Linked DNA regions of Mus musculus: region 2 is reported to be linked to region 1. Evidence: microRNA targets listed by miRTarBase, many of them from high-throughput screens and not tested one by one. Region 1 holds a microRNA gene; the other region holds the end of a gene's coding sequence.

Region 1 (16,824 bases):
GCATCTAGTCTACCATCTTACCTAAAAATTCTTTTTTAGTGTTTTGAGATTTGAGTATTGAGTGTAACTCTGTAGCTGAGGCTAGCCTTCAAATTCACTATCTAACTCAAACTGGCCTCAAACTGATATGATAATTCTTTTCCTTAGGATTTGGAAGTCCTGGGATCACAAGCAGGCACCACAAAATCCTAGCCCACTTCTTCTATTTAATGCAATATTTGGATGAGTATTTGTGTTACTTCTTTTTTTTTTTTATAAGACTGATAGTATTCAGCAGAGTATCCATCTGGTTCTGGGCTTCTGTTTGCTCAGTTCTCCATACGTATTACTTATATAGATCTGTTTAAGTTGTTTATATCCTCTTGGTATAATTTTGGAAGGCCATATGTTTCTAGAAATGTATTCATTTCTTTCAGATTTTCCAATGTATTGGAATACAAGTTTCCCTTGTACTCTATAACAATCCCCTGGATTTCATTGATATCCCTTATAATGTTCTCATTTTCTTTCTTAATTTGGGGCTTCCTCCTTCTCCCTCCTCCTTCCTACCTTCCCCATCTCCCTCTTTTTCTCCCTCTCCCTTCATTCTTTTGGTTGTTATTTAACTGGTTAAAAGTTTATAACTCTTGTTTGTCCTTTTAAGAATTCTTTACTTCATTGACTTTATTTTTCATTTACTTTACATTTCTATAATGATCTTCATTTCTTGCTTCCTACCAAGTTTGGTTTAGCTTGTTCTTATTTTTCTGACCTTGAGGTATATCATAAAATTATGAATTCTCTTTGAATTTTTAGAGTAGGCACTCATACTTACAAACTTCCCTATAGCAACTGCCTTTGCAGTATCACAAATGTCCTGATAAAGTATAGTTTTATTTTAATTTGATTCTATGAATATTAAAATTTCCTCCCTCATTTTTTCCATAAAACCAATTGATCAAATGGGCAAAGGATAAAAGTGGAAAGTGGTGGATGTAAATTAAGAGAGAGAATAAAAAAATTGACTATTAGAAGATGAAGGAGAAAAATAAAAACACAAAATAATAAAAGAAAATTATTACAAATACAAAAATAAATGTATATATATGTGTATATACATACACATGCACGTATGTAGGTATTATATGCCATTCAGCAATACTAGGGGGAAAGGGCACAGTAGCACACTATTATAAAACCAGAACTGTAAAGGTAGAGCTAAGAGGATCACCAGTTTGAGGACCAGTGTGGCCTACAACGTGATTTCTAAGCCAACTTGAGCTACCTTGTTAAAATGTTCCAAAAAATGTTTTAGAAATTAAAATGTTATGTCCTCTGGGTAGTCATGTGAACAATAGTGGCTGTTCATTATGTCTACCAGTTGGCACTTATATGTCCATATGTCTAGAACAATAAGCTTATTGGAGAAAGCAAATGCAGGTGATGGTCACCTTTCCTTTTCTGTTGTCAGCCAATCTGACAATGTGAGTGTTTTAGTACTGCATATATTGTTTTAGTAGTGGAATACCTTTGTTCCATGCTTGCTAGTATGAGGTGGTATAAACCAAAGTTCCCTCAGTCAGAATTTCCTCCAAATATATTAGTTGAACATACTTTCCACACCCCCAGCCAGAGCCTGCCTGACCCTGAGATCCACATAGATAATGGGGCAACAAACTATACAAGGTAGAGTCATAGAGCAAATCTCATGTTTTTCTTACTCACAACTGTAGTTTCCCGAGTACCAGTCTACATATGTGCTTTCTCAGCCACTGAGCATTTTTATCTGACCACTGCACTGCTTATCTAAAAGGGGAACATCTCCCACCTGAATGTACTACATGTATTTTTCAATGAGCTTTCCTTAGCAGCATTCGGCTGGGCCTACACTGGATGCTGCAAGGGACAGAGTAGAAAAATTCACCACGAGTTTTATAGGGAAGGAAACTGTAGGGAGATATTTCTCAAAGCAAGCAGCTTGAACATGACCTTTTAAAGATGTGAAATGTGGAACACTTCCCAAGCACCAGCATGCTATGTAGCTCCCAGCAGCTAAGTTCAGACTTTCTGCTCTGCATCTGTCTCTGTGCAAGTTATGCCCACTAAATCTTTCTCCTTTTCTGATAGTACCTCTGACATGCTGCCAAGCCACTACAGGCTCAGTCAGGATGCAACCTTTTCACCCTCTGCTCCAATAGCCAGAGGCTCTGCATTTCCCCAACTGTGTGTCTGTCTAATAGCTTCAGTGCATCCCCTCCCTCACTTTCTGAAGAAGCTATTTTCTGACTGTTCTGATTTCTAGCTGGGAAAAGTCTAAATATTCTGTTTGCTTCTAACACAAAAGTTTGGCATAAATATATTTCCATATTATTGTATAAACATCAGTGATTAGCAACAAAAACATGTATTTTAAAGGAGGTATAAGCAACTCAAATGTTCATTGTTGTGTGATAGATAAATAGAACATAGTGTATATCTGTAATGAACTAGTATGCAGCTTCAAAAAGGGGATCTAGTCACATGCTACAAGGTTGATGGACATTGAAGATATTGGGATAAGTGAAATAACCCAACTATATAACACAGTAAGTGTTGTATGATGGTGGAAAGGAAGACAATAAAGGAAGGGGTAAAAATGTTCATGATACCTCTGAATGGTGGGCTAGAAGGGGGGTTGAAACATTTATGAACCCTAAATAAAGTAGGTGTTGAAAAATATAGGCCTACATACATGTGTATGAAAATGCCATAACGGAGCCATTATTTTATGTGTAAACCTTAAAATTGGCGATAATAAAAATATTTAGTTGCAGTGCAATTGTATTAAAAAGTATATACCGTAGGAAATGATTCATCTGTGAGCTGTACCTTTATAGATGAAATTACTGCTCTTGAAAATCAAGCTACAACTGAGCTAGAAACTTCCTTTATGCTAGATAACTTTCATAGTGCCAGAAGAACTATGTAGACTGCTAGAGGAGCCTAGCCTGCTAGGCCTGCATGCTATACCACAGACCTACAAGACAAGATGTGCCCACTGTGGCAATAGTGGCATAACTGTTGAGTATATCCAGCCACATTCTCATTTGATTTGAGGAGGAAATTCATGCCTATTACTGTAAACCTGGTAACAAGTCTGTAGCTGTGGAGGCCATAAGCCCTAGAAGGTAAATGTTTATTTTTATTTTGCTAAATGGACATGTTATATCCATCAAGTTATCATCTAAAGACTTACGGTTGTGCTCATACATGAGTGCTGTTGTCTGTTTTGATAGGGGAAGCTTCCTTTTGTAGTGGGCAGCGTTACTGCAGAGATTCAAAAGTACTCAAGGTGCTGAGAATAAGTGACTTATGGACTGCCCAGCCCTAAAGGAAGCATCGCTATCATCTGCCCCAAGGCTTGAGGAACTTTTCAGAAAAGGGAGCAGAAGGAATTGTAGCAGCTAGAAGAAAAGGAAGAGTGTTGTCGACTGCTCTCTCCTGCCTATGACATGGTTGTAGCACTATTGAAGTATAAACTGCACAAGATTGGGCCTATCAAATTTCATCATGGGTGGGGAAGGGGATCACAAAGGCCCACTCCTCCTAGAGAATTTATTGGCTATGACAGTTGCTATCAGGAAGAGGCTTCACCCCTTCCTGCAGCACTATTGGTAGTTTGATTGCTGAAGGATGGAAAGACATTTTTTTCATAGATGATAACTTGCTCCTCTAAATTACCCTCATCCAAGCAACCCTATTTAAAGTGATGGGGACACCCAAAACCAAGAAAGAGAGTTGGTACTTGCTAGGAAGATATATATATATATATATATATATATATATATATATATATATATAGAGAGAGAGAGAGAGAGAGAGACTTTACATATATTTGTTTTTAAGGCAGGGTTTCTCTGTATCCCTAGATGTCCTGGAACTCATTGTACACCAGGCTGAGGTCACAGAGATCACCTGCCTCTGCCTCCTGAGTGCTGGGATTAAATGCATGTGCCACCATCAGCTGTGTTTCTGCTCAGATGAAGAGGTACCCCACCTCTCTGAGGTGGGACAGTGTCCCAGTGGAAGGGCATCCTGAGACATGGAAGCTCAGGAACCGCACAGCTTTGAGAGGAAGCCTCCTGAGCAGAGGCATTGCAGCGCCCAGGAGAGGGTACCACCAGCTTAAGCTGAGGAGCTCAGGACCCTCACCAGAGAGTCACAACAGGCAAAATAATCTTATGAAAGAGATTGAAGGGTCTAGGGTATAAAGGGACGAATCCAAGGATGGATGCCCTCTGCTTCCTAGAGCAGACAGAAGAGAATTGGACAAAGGGACACTTGCTTATACAGGATTTCTGAGGGGGCGGAGCTTCTCAGGGCAGAGATTTCCAGATTGAAGATTGGTGGGATTTCAAGTTCTGAGCTTGGGCAACTCAGGGATTGGAGGATTTTCCTGTTCAGAGATTGTGGCTTTTTTTTCACTCCCTTCTACCTGCATCAGGCTCATGGGTTAAGGTGGGAAGTACTTGTCTACTGCAATCAGCTTTTGCTGAGGTATCATCTGTGTGTGGCTGCTCCAGGGAGACTGGAGAGGAGGTGCTGCCACTGTGGATAGCTCCTGTGAGACAGCGCCTACAGTTTCACCAAGAAGGTATTGTCACCGTGGACAGCTCTTCATGCTGCAGTAGGCTGAGGCAGGAAAGGTGTTGCCACTGTGTTCCTGGGGAGCACCCTGCTTAGGCAGGAAAGGCAGTGCATCACTACAGGCAGCTCCTGTGACTGCTGCAGGCTGAGGAGATGTCCTGGTGCCACCATTTTAACAGCTCCCGCTGGGGCATCTCACCACAGCCTTGGGCTGAGTGGGAAGTGGGGGGCCAGTCATCACTTTGACTGCTTCTGCAGCATGGCGGGCCACTTAAGGATTACATCACCCAGCAACAAAATATAGAATGACATAATGAAACCCATTATTGTATATAATTAATATATTTTAATAAAAACAAATTATTAGAATGCCTTTAAACAGTGAGTTCATTCTTTAATCCCTTTTGTTTTATCATGTCAGAAACAGAACAAGCTATCATCTATTGAACAGAAGTTAGCCTTCACCACACAATAAGTCTACTTTTGTACCTTGATTGTTTTATCCCCCAGGTCTATAAGAAACAAATTGTTACTCACAAATTACCCAAGGTATTTTAAGGCAGCATAAAAGCATTATACAAATATTAGAAGAGCAAACTCCAAAAACAATGACAGGACCAAATTATGATGAAGATATCAAATAATAGGAATTTTTGTTTGTTGCTGGAGATACAAAATTGGTACAGCCATTTTGGAAGAAAGTTTTTTCATAAAATCGAGTGTACCCACATTAAATGGTCTAGTTATCATGCTATATGTACTTATCCAAATGAGTTTTTGAAAGCTTAGACCTACACAATAATTCACATCTTATTCAGTTCATTAAGATGTCCTTCATGGGTCAGTGAGTAAACAAACAAATGTGTTGGATACACACAATAGACTATTCAGCCTTTAAAAGAAATAAGCTTTCAAGCCAAAATGACACAAAGAAATCTTAAATACATATTACTGAATAAAATAATTTAGTCTGAAAAGTCTTTATACTGTATAATTCCAACTAATACAATATGCTTGAAAACTAAAACTGTGGTGACAATAAAAATTTTCATAATTGCAGGATTTGGGGGGAAGGAATAAATACTGCACAGGGAAATTTTAGGACAGCGAAGTCATACGAAAGTGGGTCCATGGCATATGTCAAAGCTGTTAGATTGAGTGAACATTAAACTGTAGAACTTAGGGGTATGTGTACTTCAGAGGATGGCCTTACGAATTGAACTTAGAGTAGGTTTTTTTTTAGCATTATATGAAATTGGGAGGGGATGGGCTGGTGGATCTGGAAGGCTTTAGGGGAACAAGTGGGAATGAATATGATCAAAATACATTGTGTAGATATATGAAATTCTTAAAGAATTACAAATGGTTTATTTATTTATTTATTTATTTACACTCCAGATTTTATTCCCCCTCCCAGAATATGATCAAAATACATTGTGTAGATATATGAAATTCTTAAAGAATTACAAATGGTTTTATTTATTTACTTACTTACACTCCAGATTTTATTCCCCCTCCTGGTCCACCCTCTGACTTCTCCACATCCCATACCTCCTCCCCACCACACCCCGTCTCCACGTGGATGTCCCCACCCACTACCCCACCAGACCTCTAAACTCCCTAGGACCTCCAGTCTCTTGAGGGTTAGGTGCATCATCTCTGACTAGACCCAGACCTCTGCTTTATATGTGTTGGGGGCCTCATATCAGCTGGTGTATGCTGCCTGGTTGTTGGCTAAGTGTCTGAGAGATCTCAGGGGTCCAGGTTAATTGAGACTGCTGGTCCTCCTACAAGGTTGCCACAAAAATCCCTGACATAGTAGTGCATGCCTTTAATCCCAGCACTTGAGAGGCAGACATGGGCAGATCTCTATGAGTCCCAGGACAGTCAGGGCTACATAGGGAAATTCTGTCTTAAAAAATGAATAACTAAATAAGTAAAAGGAGGAATTTAGAGATCTAGAGAGATGGCTCAGAGATTAAGAAGAGAAAACTTGCTGTTGTTGCAAAGAGCTGAAGTTGGGTTCCCAGCACTCACATGAGGCAACTCACGACATGTAACACGTTTCTTCACTATCCCTTAGTTTATTATCTTTTTTGTTTCTTTTTATGTTTCCTTTTTTTCATTTATGTACACTGTATGCATGTATATCTGCATGCAGCTTACATGTGTGAGTGGGGGTACAGGTCCACATGTGTACACATGTATGTGGAGGTCCAAGCTCAATTTGATATTCAATGTTCTTTCACCACAACTCAAGTCAAGGTCTCTGAATCAAATCCAAAGCTAAAAGATATGGCTACCCTCACTAGCCAGCTTGCTCTAGGGATTATGACCACACCCACTAAGTATTTCCATGAATTCTAAGAATCTGAAATCTGGTCCCAGCGTAGCCATCTCTCCACCCCACCTTTGAAATTATTATTGTTGTTATTTGGCAAGTTCATATATAAACATAATGTATTTTGGTAATTTTTACCTCATTTTGTACTGTTTTTTTTTTCTATTTTATTTTCCTTTTTCTGACCAGTTTTCCTTTTTTTCCTTCTATCTCCCTTTTCTTTATACTTCTCTTCCAGGCATCTTTCCCTCTGATTTCTCCTTTTACATAGGCCTGTTATTGTTGCAAACGGACATTGAAACTAAATATTTTAAGTTATTATAATTATGGATTTATTAATAAAATAAACAATTACATTTTGTTTTTAAGTAGCATGACCAAGCTACTTGGAGAGGAAAGGAATTTTTGGCTTATAGCTTGTAGTCAATCATTTAAAAAAGTCAGGGCAGAAACTAAAGCAGAGGCCATGGAGGGGTGTAACTTACTGGCTTGTTCAGCCTGATTTCTTATACAACCCAGAACCACTTGCCTAGGGATAGCACCAACAACCATGTCCTGGGCCCTCTTATATCAGTCATTAGTCAAGAAAATGCCCCCACAGACTTGCCTAAAGGCCATATTAAAGGAGGCATTTTCTTGATCGAGGTTCCCAGCATATCATATAATTGAAGCTTCTGTGCTGGAAGAAGATGTATTCGAAGAAAGTAAACAAAAATATATTGTGAAAGAAATTATAGTAACTTGTCCTAAATGTTCGCCTTGCTCTTTATTACAGTTATATAAATGTATACAGGGCTGGAGAGATGGTTCAGAGGTTAAGAGCACTGACTGCTTTTCCAGAGGTCCTGAGTTCAGTTCCCAGCAACCACATGGTGGCTCACAGCCATCTATAGTGAGATCCGATGCCTTCTTCTGGTGCGTCTAAATAAATAAATAAATAAATAAATAAATAATCTTTTAAAAAAGATGTGTACAAGACTGCCTTAATAAGCAACCTTTGGCCGGGCGGTGGTGGCGCACGCCTTTAATCCCAGCACTTGGGAGGCAGAGGCAGGCGGATTTCTGAGTTTGAGGCCAGCCTGGTCTACAAAGTGAGCTCCAGGACAGCCAGGGCTACACAGAGAAACCCTGTCTCGAAAAACCAAAAAAAAAAAACCAAAAAAAAAAAAAAAAAACAACCTTTGAAGAAAAACCCTTTGGTTTCAAGTTCATGAACTCTAGATGAATTGCAGAGTGTCTGTGGTTGTTTGTCACACTTAGAGAACTGCTAAAAGTTCTGACTGAGGGAAACTGTTGGGTTTAAGCGTTACTAAGTTTAATGTGTTAGTAATAACCTTATGTTTCTTAGAATTCTGGCTTTCCTCCTCCCCTCCCTTTCCTCTCCTCCCCTTCCTTCCCCTCCCCTCCCCTTCCTTTCCCATCCCTTCCCTTCCAAAATATTATCTCATCACGCAGCCTAGGGCTAGCCTCTAACTCATTGTGTAACCCACTCTATCTTCAACTCACTTCCTCCATTCTGAGTGTTGGAATTACAATAGCACTCCACCATGCCCCTCTGTAGAAGAGCCTCTTTCATTTTCTTGCAGGCTGATAAGATTTGGACATCTCTGCTGAATTTTAGATTTATTTCCTTCTCTAATCTAATCTATAGGCAGCTAGAGTAGACTAGAAAACGTTTGGTGCTTTAAATGTTGTTCAAGGATGACATTTGAAATGTAAATAAAGAAAATATACAATAAAAATATTTAAGATGGTGATCTAGCCCTTTAGTTTTGAGGTTGGTGTACTGTGTGTGAGTATACATATTTATCACACACAGTCACTATCTTCGAAAGTGAGGGTGCACATCTTTCTCAGCCATCTCTTATTAAGCCATTAAAGTAATGCCAACATCTGAAGCTAGCACATTCTGGTTCTAGAAGGTCGAGTTTTTCCTTGGAATAAACTGAGTTTAGCCTGAGCAGAGAAAGACCTTCATTTTTAAAGTTAGTAGTAGTAATAGTAATAGTAGTGTGTGTGTGTGTGTGTGTGTGTGTGTGTGTGTGTGTGTGTGTGTACAGCGGCCAAAGGAGGGCATCAAATGACTTGTGTTATCACTCTCTGCCTTGTTCCTGTTTTAAGGTCTCTCACAGAACCATAGAGTCAGGACGAGAGTCAGAAAACCTGACTGACTGATTCTCCTGTGCCTACCTCACTAGGGTTTCTGGCTTCCTCCCAGCCATGCCTGGCTTTTATTGTATACATGCTGAGAGCCCAAGCTCAGGTTCTCACTCTTATGCAGCACAGAAGAAAATAAGGAAGTTAGGTGACACATCAGCCAAGGTACATTGAGGTTACCTGATGCTTAATGACTCTTTACACAAAACAGAGGAATGCCTACATAAAGACCAGCAGGAACTAGGCAATGTAACAACTGAGACAAAGTCAGCTCTATCTAAGGTCAGCTATAGTCTTAGAAGCCAGGTGTGAGGTCGTTACACTCCTGGGGCAAGGGCTTTCACGCCCAAGCCATAGTTCTAATTCTGATTTATTGTTTAGCCCACCACCACCCAGCTCTTAGTAAATACCTAACTATGCTATTCCCCAGGGCTAGTGAAAGTATGTGCTAGGGAGTTCCGCTCTAGCTAACCTTCTCATGAATAATGCAACACACTAGTTCCTCCTTAAATCACAGCCCGATCTTCTTCCTAAACAATTGTAAATTCCTGTATGTGGGAGTTACTCGCCTGTTATTCTAAGTGATTTTGTGAGGGACTTTCTTCTATTAAGTAATGTAGTCTGACATATATAACTATAATAAGAATTCTAAACTTACTTTGCTAAGCTTGCCCTGAAATTTCTAACTATATGTAGTAGATAGTAACGCCCGATTTCTTTTGCTATCTCTCTTTCAATACTGGAGGCAATTCGTCTGAATAGATAACATTCTTACTAAATTCCAAGCCCAGGGTCAGCTCAAGGACTGCCTAGGACGTTGGTGAAGACCAGGAAGCAAAGTTCAACCTAATTTAGGTATTTGTCAAATCATTCCTTGGAGGCACCTATAATAAAACAATACTGAAAGAAAGCACACAGAACCATTCGCCAACTATTGCAAGGACGAATCTGAAACACATCTGTTTATGGGACACCAGAAACTTTCCAGGAGACAAGTTTCCATAAAACTTTATGCCTCATGACTGTAGCCAAGCTTTTGGGCCTGTCAGGCAGTTTTTACTGGAGTGGGTGTGGCACACTGTAGCTGTCTTCAGACTCACCAGAAGAGGGCATAAGTTCTCATTACAGATATTTGTGAGCCACCATGTGTTTGCTGGGATTTAAACTCAGGACCTTCGGAAGAGCAGTCAGTGCTCTTACCAGCTGAGTATCTCTCCAGCTCCCCATTTTCCTTTCTTAAACCACGCTTATATATTGGCTTTCACTTTGCCCTCATTTCCTAGTGTACTGGCTGGTATTGGGTGTCAACTTGACACAGCTGGAGTTATCACAGAGAAAGGAGCTTCAGTTGAGGAAATGCCTCCACAAAATCCAGCTGTAAGGCATTTTCTCAGTGATCAAGGGGGAAAGGCCCCTTGTGGGTGGGACCATCTCTGGGCTGGTAGTCTTGGTTCTGTAAGAGAGCAGGCTGAGCAAGCCAGGGGAAGCAAGCCAGTAAAGAACATCCCTCCATTGCCTCTGCATCAACTCCTGCGTCCTGACCTGCTTGAGTTCCAGTCCTGACTTCCTTGGTGATGAACAGCAGAATGGAAGTGTAAGCTGAATAAACCCTTTCCTCCCCAACTTGCTTCTTGGTCATGATGTTTGTGCAGGAATAGAAATCCCGATTAAGACACCTAGAGAACACAAAACAGATAGGAGATTTAAAACCATAGAAGTTTCATTCTGCTTCTTAACAAATCATTTCTATAGGATTCCTGGTGGCTGGAAGGCAAATTGAACATTCTACTTTGATCTTGTATTAGTAAAGCAGATGGTTTTGTTAAACAACTCCCTAGGGAAGATTTGGGTCTCTGTTCCAGCTTCTGACATAGCCAAAAAGAATCCCAGAGTGGATAGAGCTGAATTGGCCTTTCAGACATTTTTGTTCAATCCCTTATGGTACATATTGAAAATTCAAGCCTAGAATTGGATATTGTTCAAGGTCACAGTCACATAGTGAATTTCTGGCTTCAAGAGAGATTATTCTTCCCTCCTATGCAAAGGGGGAATCTAACAGATACTGTTTAAGCTATGAACTCTTGTGAGTGTGAATGTTTCATGTATGCCATTATAGTTTAATTTTTAATAATTGGAATAATTCTATATTTATAAAAAATTGCAATGTACAAAAAATCATGATCATTGTCTCTTTTCTCTTATATTGCTGTGGTATAATTTCAAAATAAAACCCCAGATTTTATCAGTTTTCTATGCTAGCATCTAGAAAATCAGGATCAGAGATAACTGAAAATCTTTGATCTTCCTATTTCCTTAGTTTTCTCATCTGTGCCAGTTTTTTAGGTTTACCTGTAAGATGTTTTGTACAATGTCCCTCAATTTGTTGTGAGTTTTGAAAAAAATACTACAGAGATGAAGTGTCATTACTATCAAGGTATATATAAAGTGGTACACAGTATCAGTAGTTAACTTTGATAATATGGTTTGCCATGTTCACACAATAGAAAGTTGAAGTTTTTTTCTTTTCTGTTCTCTATGCTTCAGAAATTCACTCACACCTAAGTTCAACCTCCTTGAAATAAAGAATACTTGTATATATTTACATGTGTAGAAATATAATTCATGTTTTTCTAAGACAATGTCTTACTGTATAGTTGTGACTGTCCTGGAACTCACTACTGTTTGAAACTCACTTTGTAGACCAGGCTGACCTCAAACTCACAGAGATCCACCTGCCTCTGCCTCTTAAGTGCTGGGATTAATAGTGTGCACCGCTTTTGTCTAAAGCAATTTATAAAAAATAAATATAGAATTTGGAGTTCTTTTTAAAGAATATCAACTTTTGTTGACTGCTATTTGATTCCTGTGCATGAAGGTAGAAGTGTTTTGGATGTTAGCTTATCTGTTCTGTTGCTCACAATGTTCTTACTTTGACCGTAAGTGATTCTTTCAGATTAGCTTCTGTAGCCTCTTGACATGCAGCTTGAATTTTATCTTCTTAGATTGATAATTTTCTGGTACTTCAAAATACTCCAAACTCACACCAGCAGTTTCTTTAAGGAATATTAATTGATTGGGGGGGACAATGTATTTGAAAACCAAGATCTGAGCCAATCTTACCAACTATCATTGTTTCTGTACTTTCTCAATGGACAACTTAAGTAATATATAGCTGAACTATTCTATATATACATATGCATCTATAATTGTCTATCAATCTATTTTATGTATATTAAGCTAAATATGACCTCATATCAATACCATGAATGAATCCAGTACTAGTCTTCTATTCCTGTTTACCTATAAATTTCTTCTCTAACAGTGAGAAAACTGTGTTCTAACACCTACTATACATTTGTTTATTTCTTCAATACCAACACATATAAAACAGTTTCAGAATTGACCTATTGTCCCTATGAGAACCAAATGGACAAGAATAATGTTTATGTTCAGTTATTTATCCTTACAATTTTGTGTCAAAACATAATTTTCTCAAGTAAAATCTGCTTTATATCCCTCAGTGCAGTTACATCATTTATGTTTTATATAGTTAAATTCATTTTCACAGTTTTCATTCCATCTTATGATCTTCCAACATCTTGGTTGATTTTTAAATTTTCATATACTAAGGCTAAGTCTTTGTGAATAGGAGGTACATAATTTTTGGCAGAGTGTTATATACTCTTTACTCCAGCATCATTGAGAAAAGTTCTATCATTTTTAAACTTCTGTTGTTGCCAACCAGGACTCCTTCTCCTAACATTCTGAAATTACTCATGGGTTTCCATCCCTATATTCCAATCTGTTTTACAGAATGGCATAACAATATAACAATATAATATGTGGCCTATTTGGGTATAGTTTCTGTTTCTCAGCAAAGTTTAATTTAAGGTACAGTTCATATTGTGTGAATTGGTAATGCATTTAAAATGTTCCGTTTTGGGGGCTGGAGAGATGGCTCAGCGGTTAAGAGCACTGACGGCTCTTCCAGAGATCCTGAGTTCAAATCCCAGTAACCACATGGTGGCTCACAACCATCCGAAACAACTATCTGGCGCCCTCTTCTGGAGTGTCTGAAGACAGCTACAGTGTACTTACATATGATAAATAAATAATTTTTTTAAAATGTTCCCTTTTGGTTTGGGGAGCAGGATGGGGGTTATAGGGGGCTTTGGGGATAGCATTTGAAATGTAAATGAAGAAAATAGCTAATAAAAATAAAAAATAATGATGAAAAAATGCTCCCTTTTGTCTTTGGCCATGTTACCCCTAATACGCCTAATCTCACCGAGTGTTTTGTTTTATTATTGACTAGTATTCCATTGTAGAAATAACTAGCCAATATTTTGTTAAAAGTCATTTTGAGTATTTCTAACTTTGGGAAACTATGAATAATGTTACTATAAACATGTACTTATAGGGGTTTTGTGTTAAATATACATTTCTAATTTATTTTGGTAGACTACTAGCAATATAGTTGGTGGATCATACTATAAGCCTATTTACATTTGTGCTTTTAACATATATTTCCAAGAAGTTTGGGTTGAAGTTGTTTGTAGGGTGTAATAGGATCTCTGCTTGTAAGCTGATTGGAATAATTATCATTCTCTAAGCATATTCTGTATGGATAGAAAATACAATATCCACAAGAAGATAGCTACATTTACCAGAATGATGAAATTTCTGTAAAATGACCAAGTATTTGCTAACATCTAGAAAGTCATAAATCTTTACAAGATTATGGAAGCATTAAAATTTGGTCATTTTATATACAAAGTAGTGAAACAATTAAATTAGAAAACAAACAACTCAGTGTTTTTAAAAATTAGCTAAAGAGAGAAACAGAATTCACAGAAAATTAACTTTTCAATGAGTTCAACAGCCTTAGTCATCAGATAAATGCAAATTTAAACTACTTTGAATCAGAATAGATAACATCAAGACAACAAATGACAACTAATCTTGGTGAGGCTGTTGGAAAAGAGGAACATTAACACCATTGACGGAAATGTAAACTGGTACAACCACTGTGGAAATCAGCTTGGATGTTTGTAAAATAACTGAAAATAGAACGATTGCATGGCCCAGTATACCACTGCTGGGCATATACCCCAAAGACTATATCCCACCACAGATATATGCACAAATACATGTTTACTGCTGCACTATTCATAGTAGAAAGGATATGGAATCAGCATACATGTCCATCAACAGCTGAATGGATAATGAAAATGTGGTACATATGCACAGTGGAATTATTCAGTCATGAAAAATGAAATTATTGATTAAATTTTCAGGAAAATTGACAGAACTAGGAAAAAATATTAATTGAAGCAACCCATTCTCAGAAAGGCAGAAACCTGATGTCGTGCCCAGTATTCAGATCCTAGCTTCTAGCTTTTCTCTATGTGTAGTTATGTGAGAATGAGTGAGTATAAACACCAGAAAACTAGAAACTGGAAGGAGGAGCTATAAGGGAGAAGGATGAGGAGAGCATCAGAATACATGTAATATGAAAGTGGAAGGAGGGAGGGATCTGGGCAGCAGGGCATGTGGAAGACAAGGAGAATAGGGAGAGAAGTATAAAGGATCAGGGACTTGGCTGTGGGATTTTTGTCTTCTAATAACTTCAGAAGCTATACCCATAAGTTACACACTACCAACATGTCTACCAAATGTGAGCTAAACAAGATTGAAATCAACAAATTTGCCAAATTGCATGGGAAAAGCCCAGGAGGCTTCAACTCTACACAAAGATCTGCACAGGCAACTTAGTTAAGCTGGGAGCATGAGAGGTAGTCCTCCCCAAGGAAGAGCATACCAATTGGTTGTCCAGTTCCAGTCAGCCATCCTCACAACTGATCCTACCCCAGTTTCCCTCCCCACCTACTCTCCCATCTATCCACCTCCTTCCATTAACTTCCCTCCTTCTATCCATCTTCAATGTCTATTTTATTTCCCCTTCTGAGCAAGATTCAAGAAACCTCCCTTGGATTTTCCTTGTTACTTATCTTCTTTGGATCTGTGGATTATAGCATAGTTATTCTGTAATTTATGGCTAATGTCCACTTAGAAGTGAGTACATATCATGTATGTCTTTCTGGGTCTGGGGTACCTTACTCAGAATGATACTTTTTAGTTCCATCCATTTTCACCATGTCATTTTTTTAATGGCTGATTAGTATTCTATTATGTAAATGTACCACATTTTCTTTATCCATTCTTCTGTAGGTTGCCGATTTGTCTTATCGACTATGTTCTTTGCCTTACAGAAGCTTTCCAATTTCATGAGATCCCATTTATCAATTCTTGATCTTACAGCATGAGCCATTGGAATTCTGTTTAGGAAATTTCCCCCTGTGCCAATGAGTTCAAGGTTCTTTTCCACTTTCTCTTCTATTAGAGTCAGTGTATCTTTTTTTGTTGTTGTTTTTTTATTTTTTTGAGGCAGGGTTTCTCTGTATCACCTGGTTGTCCTAGAACTCACTTTGTAGACCAGGCTGGCCTCGAACTCAGAAATCGGCCTGCCTCTGCCTCCCAAGTGCTGGGATTAAAGGCGTGTACCACCACGCCCGGCAGTGTATCTGGTTTTATGTTGAGGTCCTTGATCCATTTGGACTTGAGCTTTGTGCAAGGTAACAAATATGGGCCTATTTTCATTCTTCTACCTACAGACAGTCAGTTGGATGAGCACCATTTATTGAAGACGCTTTTTCCCCCATTGTGTATTTTTGGCTTCTTTGTCAAAGATCAAGTGTCCGTAAGTAACTGTTTAAAAAAATTCTGAGGATTTTACTTTTCTCTGTGATTAGAAATAATTTCATCAACAGTACCATTGTGTTCCTTACTAGTTTCACATTGCAGTTTCTTATCAGTAACTGTATATTTCTTGGTGGATTGTATTGTAGGGTTGTTGTTTTGTTTGTTCCAATTATTTTTCATACAAGCTACATTGTTCAACAACGGGGGGGGGGGGGGAGGCGGTTGGCAAAGATGTTGACCTCTCAAAAAACATACAGAACTGAAATAGTGGAGCAGAGCACAGCCAGATTCTTCCCAGCAAACCTCAGGGAAGTCTCTGTGAAGAACGGTTTCTCTGGTGACTAGTACCTGTAGGAGATTTGAAAAAGAATCGAAATGGAAATGAATTAATGTGACCCTAAATATGGCTGAAGTGTACAGGTTTTTTTTAGCTAAATACTGGACTTTATTTCCAGCCAGCCTTGATGGTTCTTCCAAAGGGCAGAAGTGGGGAGGGAGCGAGGTTTGCAGGGGATGGAGGTGGAGTGTGCTCTAAGGATGAAGAAAAAGAACATAAAGAGACTGTGCCGGGGCCTAGCAAACACAGAAGTGGATGCTCACAGTCAGTTATTGGTTGGATCACAGGGCTCCCAATGGAGGAGCTAGAGAAATTACCTAAGGAGCTAAAGGGATCTGCAACCCTATAGGTGGAACAACATTATGAACTAACCAGTACCCCGGAGCTCTTGACTCTAGCTGCATATGTATCAAAAGATGGCCTAGTCGGCCATCACTGGAAAGAGAGGCCCATTGGTCTTGCAAACTGTATATGCCCCAGTACAGGGGAACGCCAGGGCCAAAAAAAAATGAGAATGAGTGGGTAGGGAAGTGTGGGGGAGGGTATGGGGGACTTTTGGGATAGCATTGGAAATGTAATTGAGGAAAATATGTAATAAAAAAAATCAATTAAAATAAAAAAA
Region 2 (3,000 bases), not on the chromosome of region 1:
TAGTCAGCATATACTTCCACAGTTCTTTATTTAAAACAAACTGATAATTCAGGAAACAGCATAACTGAAAAACATTTACTAGCACTAAACAAATCTACATAACATACATAATTTTACTAAGGTGCAACTAAAACATTTGATATGGCACATTTTCTATTTCATACTGACCTTCTACTTAAAAAGAAAGACAGTTATTATAAACCTTAAGGTGCTCTAAGTTCCTTTTTGCGTTTATTCCTTTTATCACATCTAAAGTTGAGATGGATTTCTAGGGACACACCCTTTTTTCCCTGTTTTAATTGAACGCTATGATGACCTTAGCCTTAGGACCTGACTGGGGACCATTTGAGGGGTACAGCAGCATAGGGCTGGAAGAGGAGTGCTGCCTCCTTTACTGCAGACAGACAGACATGCTGCCTCCTTCTTTTCTAGCAGCTTCTGTGAGGAACACATGTGCAATGTCTTCTGTCCTCAGGCAAGTAATTTTTCTCCAGATAATCTGTGGCACCGTCAGGAATATTACAAAGTTTTGTTGTAAGAATCAGAGGTGCTGCTGATAGACATGTCAGGTACTCAGCATAAAGAAAATACCTGATTCTTAGTAACCTATAAATCTAACTATCACTCATGGGCTCCTGGTAACAGCCCGTCTCACTCAAACCTGTCAGAAAGATTTTCTAACTCAGTCTTTTTCACCTTTCAAGTAGCAGCTTCTGGGTTTATCTGAAAAATTTTGACATAGATTTATCAAAGCCACTGAAGAAATCTGAATATATTCTGTTAACAGAATATTATTCAAGGGTGAAGAATGGATCAACTATTCCAACCTCTTCAGTGGATTAACTACAAAAACAAATTACAAATTCATTTAGCTAGACATCATTAGCTAATTTTCTTCCTCCATCCATGAAGACATCAACACTTGCTTACAGACATTCTAAGTTCATTACATCCGCCTGATTTACTGCAGTCAAGCAGATGCCAAATATCCATTTAACAATTCTTACAAAATACACAAGAAAGCTGAAATGCAGAACAGTTTCATAGCAGTTTACAGAAACCAAAAGAGTAGTTTGGCTTTGTATATACAATACAAATCACACACACACACACACACACACACACACACACACACACACACACACACACACACACACACGTGTGGTATTAGGCTTGCAAACAGCACAAGAGAAGCATTAAATGCCATCTCCCTTTACCCTGCCACCACAGTGAGACACAGGTCGAGCTTTCATTTTAAGGGGCATCAATTCAACATTATGCCCATTAGCATACAGATTAGAGAGAACAGGTCTACTGCGGCCTGAAAGACTCTGCTGCTCTCGGGAATCTACACTACTCCTGAGATCTAAAGCTCCGGAGCCAAGAAATGTCAGTAAAATCCCTGAGGGTGAAACAGAAGCAAACTATCTGGAAGAACCCCTCTTAACCAAGCCACTCTGGATTCCCACACACGGTGTGTGCTTGTGTGTATGAGTGAGCACACCTTTCAAAATGACAAAATGACCAATCAGCCCCCGAGACAAGAATCAACAATACAACCAACCGCCCACCCAGCCCTTGCCTTAACAAGACGATCCCAATGCGGTGTTTAAAGATGGTTAGTGACAGACCAGGACTTGGAACATTAATAAAGTGGAATATGGTGTGGCACACCTTTAACACCGACCTTCCTTCCGCACCTTGGGAGGCCCCAGGAGGTGGATCTGTTAGTTCCAGGGCACATAGCTGAAACTATGCAATCTACTTTTCCCTTTGTAAAAAAGTTGTTTACTTTATTGTTGTGAGTGTGTGTATGTGTGCTGAGAGTTGCTTTCAGTTTTAGACGTTTCCAGGTTGGGAAGCATTCATGCAGACAGCGAGCTAAGACTAGCTGTGTGCCTAATATAATGTGCAAGTCTAAAATGAGCCCAATATGTCAGAAAGTTTTCAACATGAAAATGTCTCATGTTTTGGACTTAAGAATTAAGAAGGCTCAACTTATACTGCTTGCTTTCAACATGCTCTATTTTTTTTTTTTTCTCTTGAATCTGCAATTCTGGTCTGAATATGGGGCCTCCTACAGGTTAGGCACATGTTCTCCCACTGAGCCACACTCCAGCCCTACCTACATTCATTCTAATGAGGGATTCCCATGATATAGTGATAGTTACAATTTTAAAGAGTCCCTTTTGAAAAGTATTATTAAGCACTTCATTACTTAATGTGTGTGACATGCTCTCTCACACACACACACACACACACACACACACACACAGTCTGGAAAACATGCTTTAATTAAAGGTTGTTTTAGAGCAGAAGTTACGAACTTGTCTTCATGTACACCAGCAGTAAAGCTCACTCTGCTGCCCCCACCATTTGCAGTTCAGTGTGTATGCGGCGGTCTTGCTGCAGTAGCACAAGCATGACCTAAGAGTCAGCACGTATCCTACGAATGGATCTTGAGTGACCATTACCTCTAACAGAAGAGAGTAGAAATACTAATATTTAGGTGGTGATCAGTCAAGTAGAAAATTGGATCAAAAGCAGTTATTCACTTAAGTAATTCCTGTCCAAATATGGTGGGTGAGATGTCATTTCTGAAGTTCGAGTTTAAGGGTGAAGGTCACACCCAAGCTTTCCATCCTGGGAAGAGTCGGCTGAGATTTTTGGGATCCATGGCCTGCTGGATAAGCAAGTTCACCTGTCCACCCACACTGAGCACAGTGCCTTCCTCCACGCCTTTCAGTTTCTCTTGCAGTCTCATCAAGACACGCTCAGCTACTTTGTTGAAACTCTGGTCAGTATCACTAATGATAAAAGAACACAAAGATTACAATGAGGTGCAACCATGGAGGGCCTGGGAACAAGAAAATCTAAGTAACAACAGGTCCTTCCTGAAATATCCCACCTAAGACTTTGTTTGCATTCTTGATCATCTGCATTGGGGGTGGAATGGAGGTCGGACTCATCTTCTGGTCTCTGCTGTAGATACAGAGCTTT

What was found. Region 1 holds the annotated microRNA mmu-miR-672-3p (ACACACAGUCACUAUCUUCGA, at 8,758-8,778, shown strand). A microRNA usually pairs through its seed, bases 2 to 8, with sites in the 3' UTR of a target mRNA and lowers its output. Matches are read on the target gene's strand: a 7mer-m8 pairs with bases 2 to 8, a 7mer-A1 pairs with bases 2 to 7 and ends in A, and an 8mer does both.
Region 2: miRTarBase lists Atm as a target of mmu-miR-672-3p. Seed matches in the 3' UTR shown: 7mer-m8 at 2,270-2,276, 7mer-A1 at 2,241-2,247 and 7mer-A1 at 1,098-1,104.

Annotation. Positions count from the first base shown.
Region 1 is chrX:104,108,146-104,124,969 of GRCm38, reverse strand. It overlaps Mir672 (microRNA 672), which reads left to right and starts at 8,696; the gene lies at 8,696-8,795. The region is part of intron 1 of Nexmif (neurite extension and migration factor); the gene reads left to right.
Region 2 is chr9:53,437,123-53,440,122 of GRCm38, forward strand. Atm (ataxia telangiectasia mutated) reads right to left here. Exons shown (of 63, transcript NM_007499.3): 62 at 2,909-3,000; 63 at 1-2,807. The coding sequence ends at 2,624. Among named protein-coding and RNA genes, the nearest start is that of 4930550C14Rik, 33 kb to the left of the region's middle.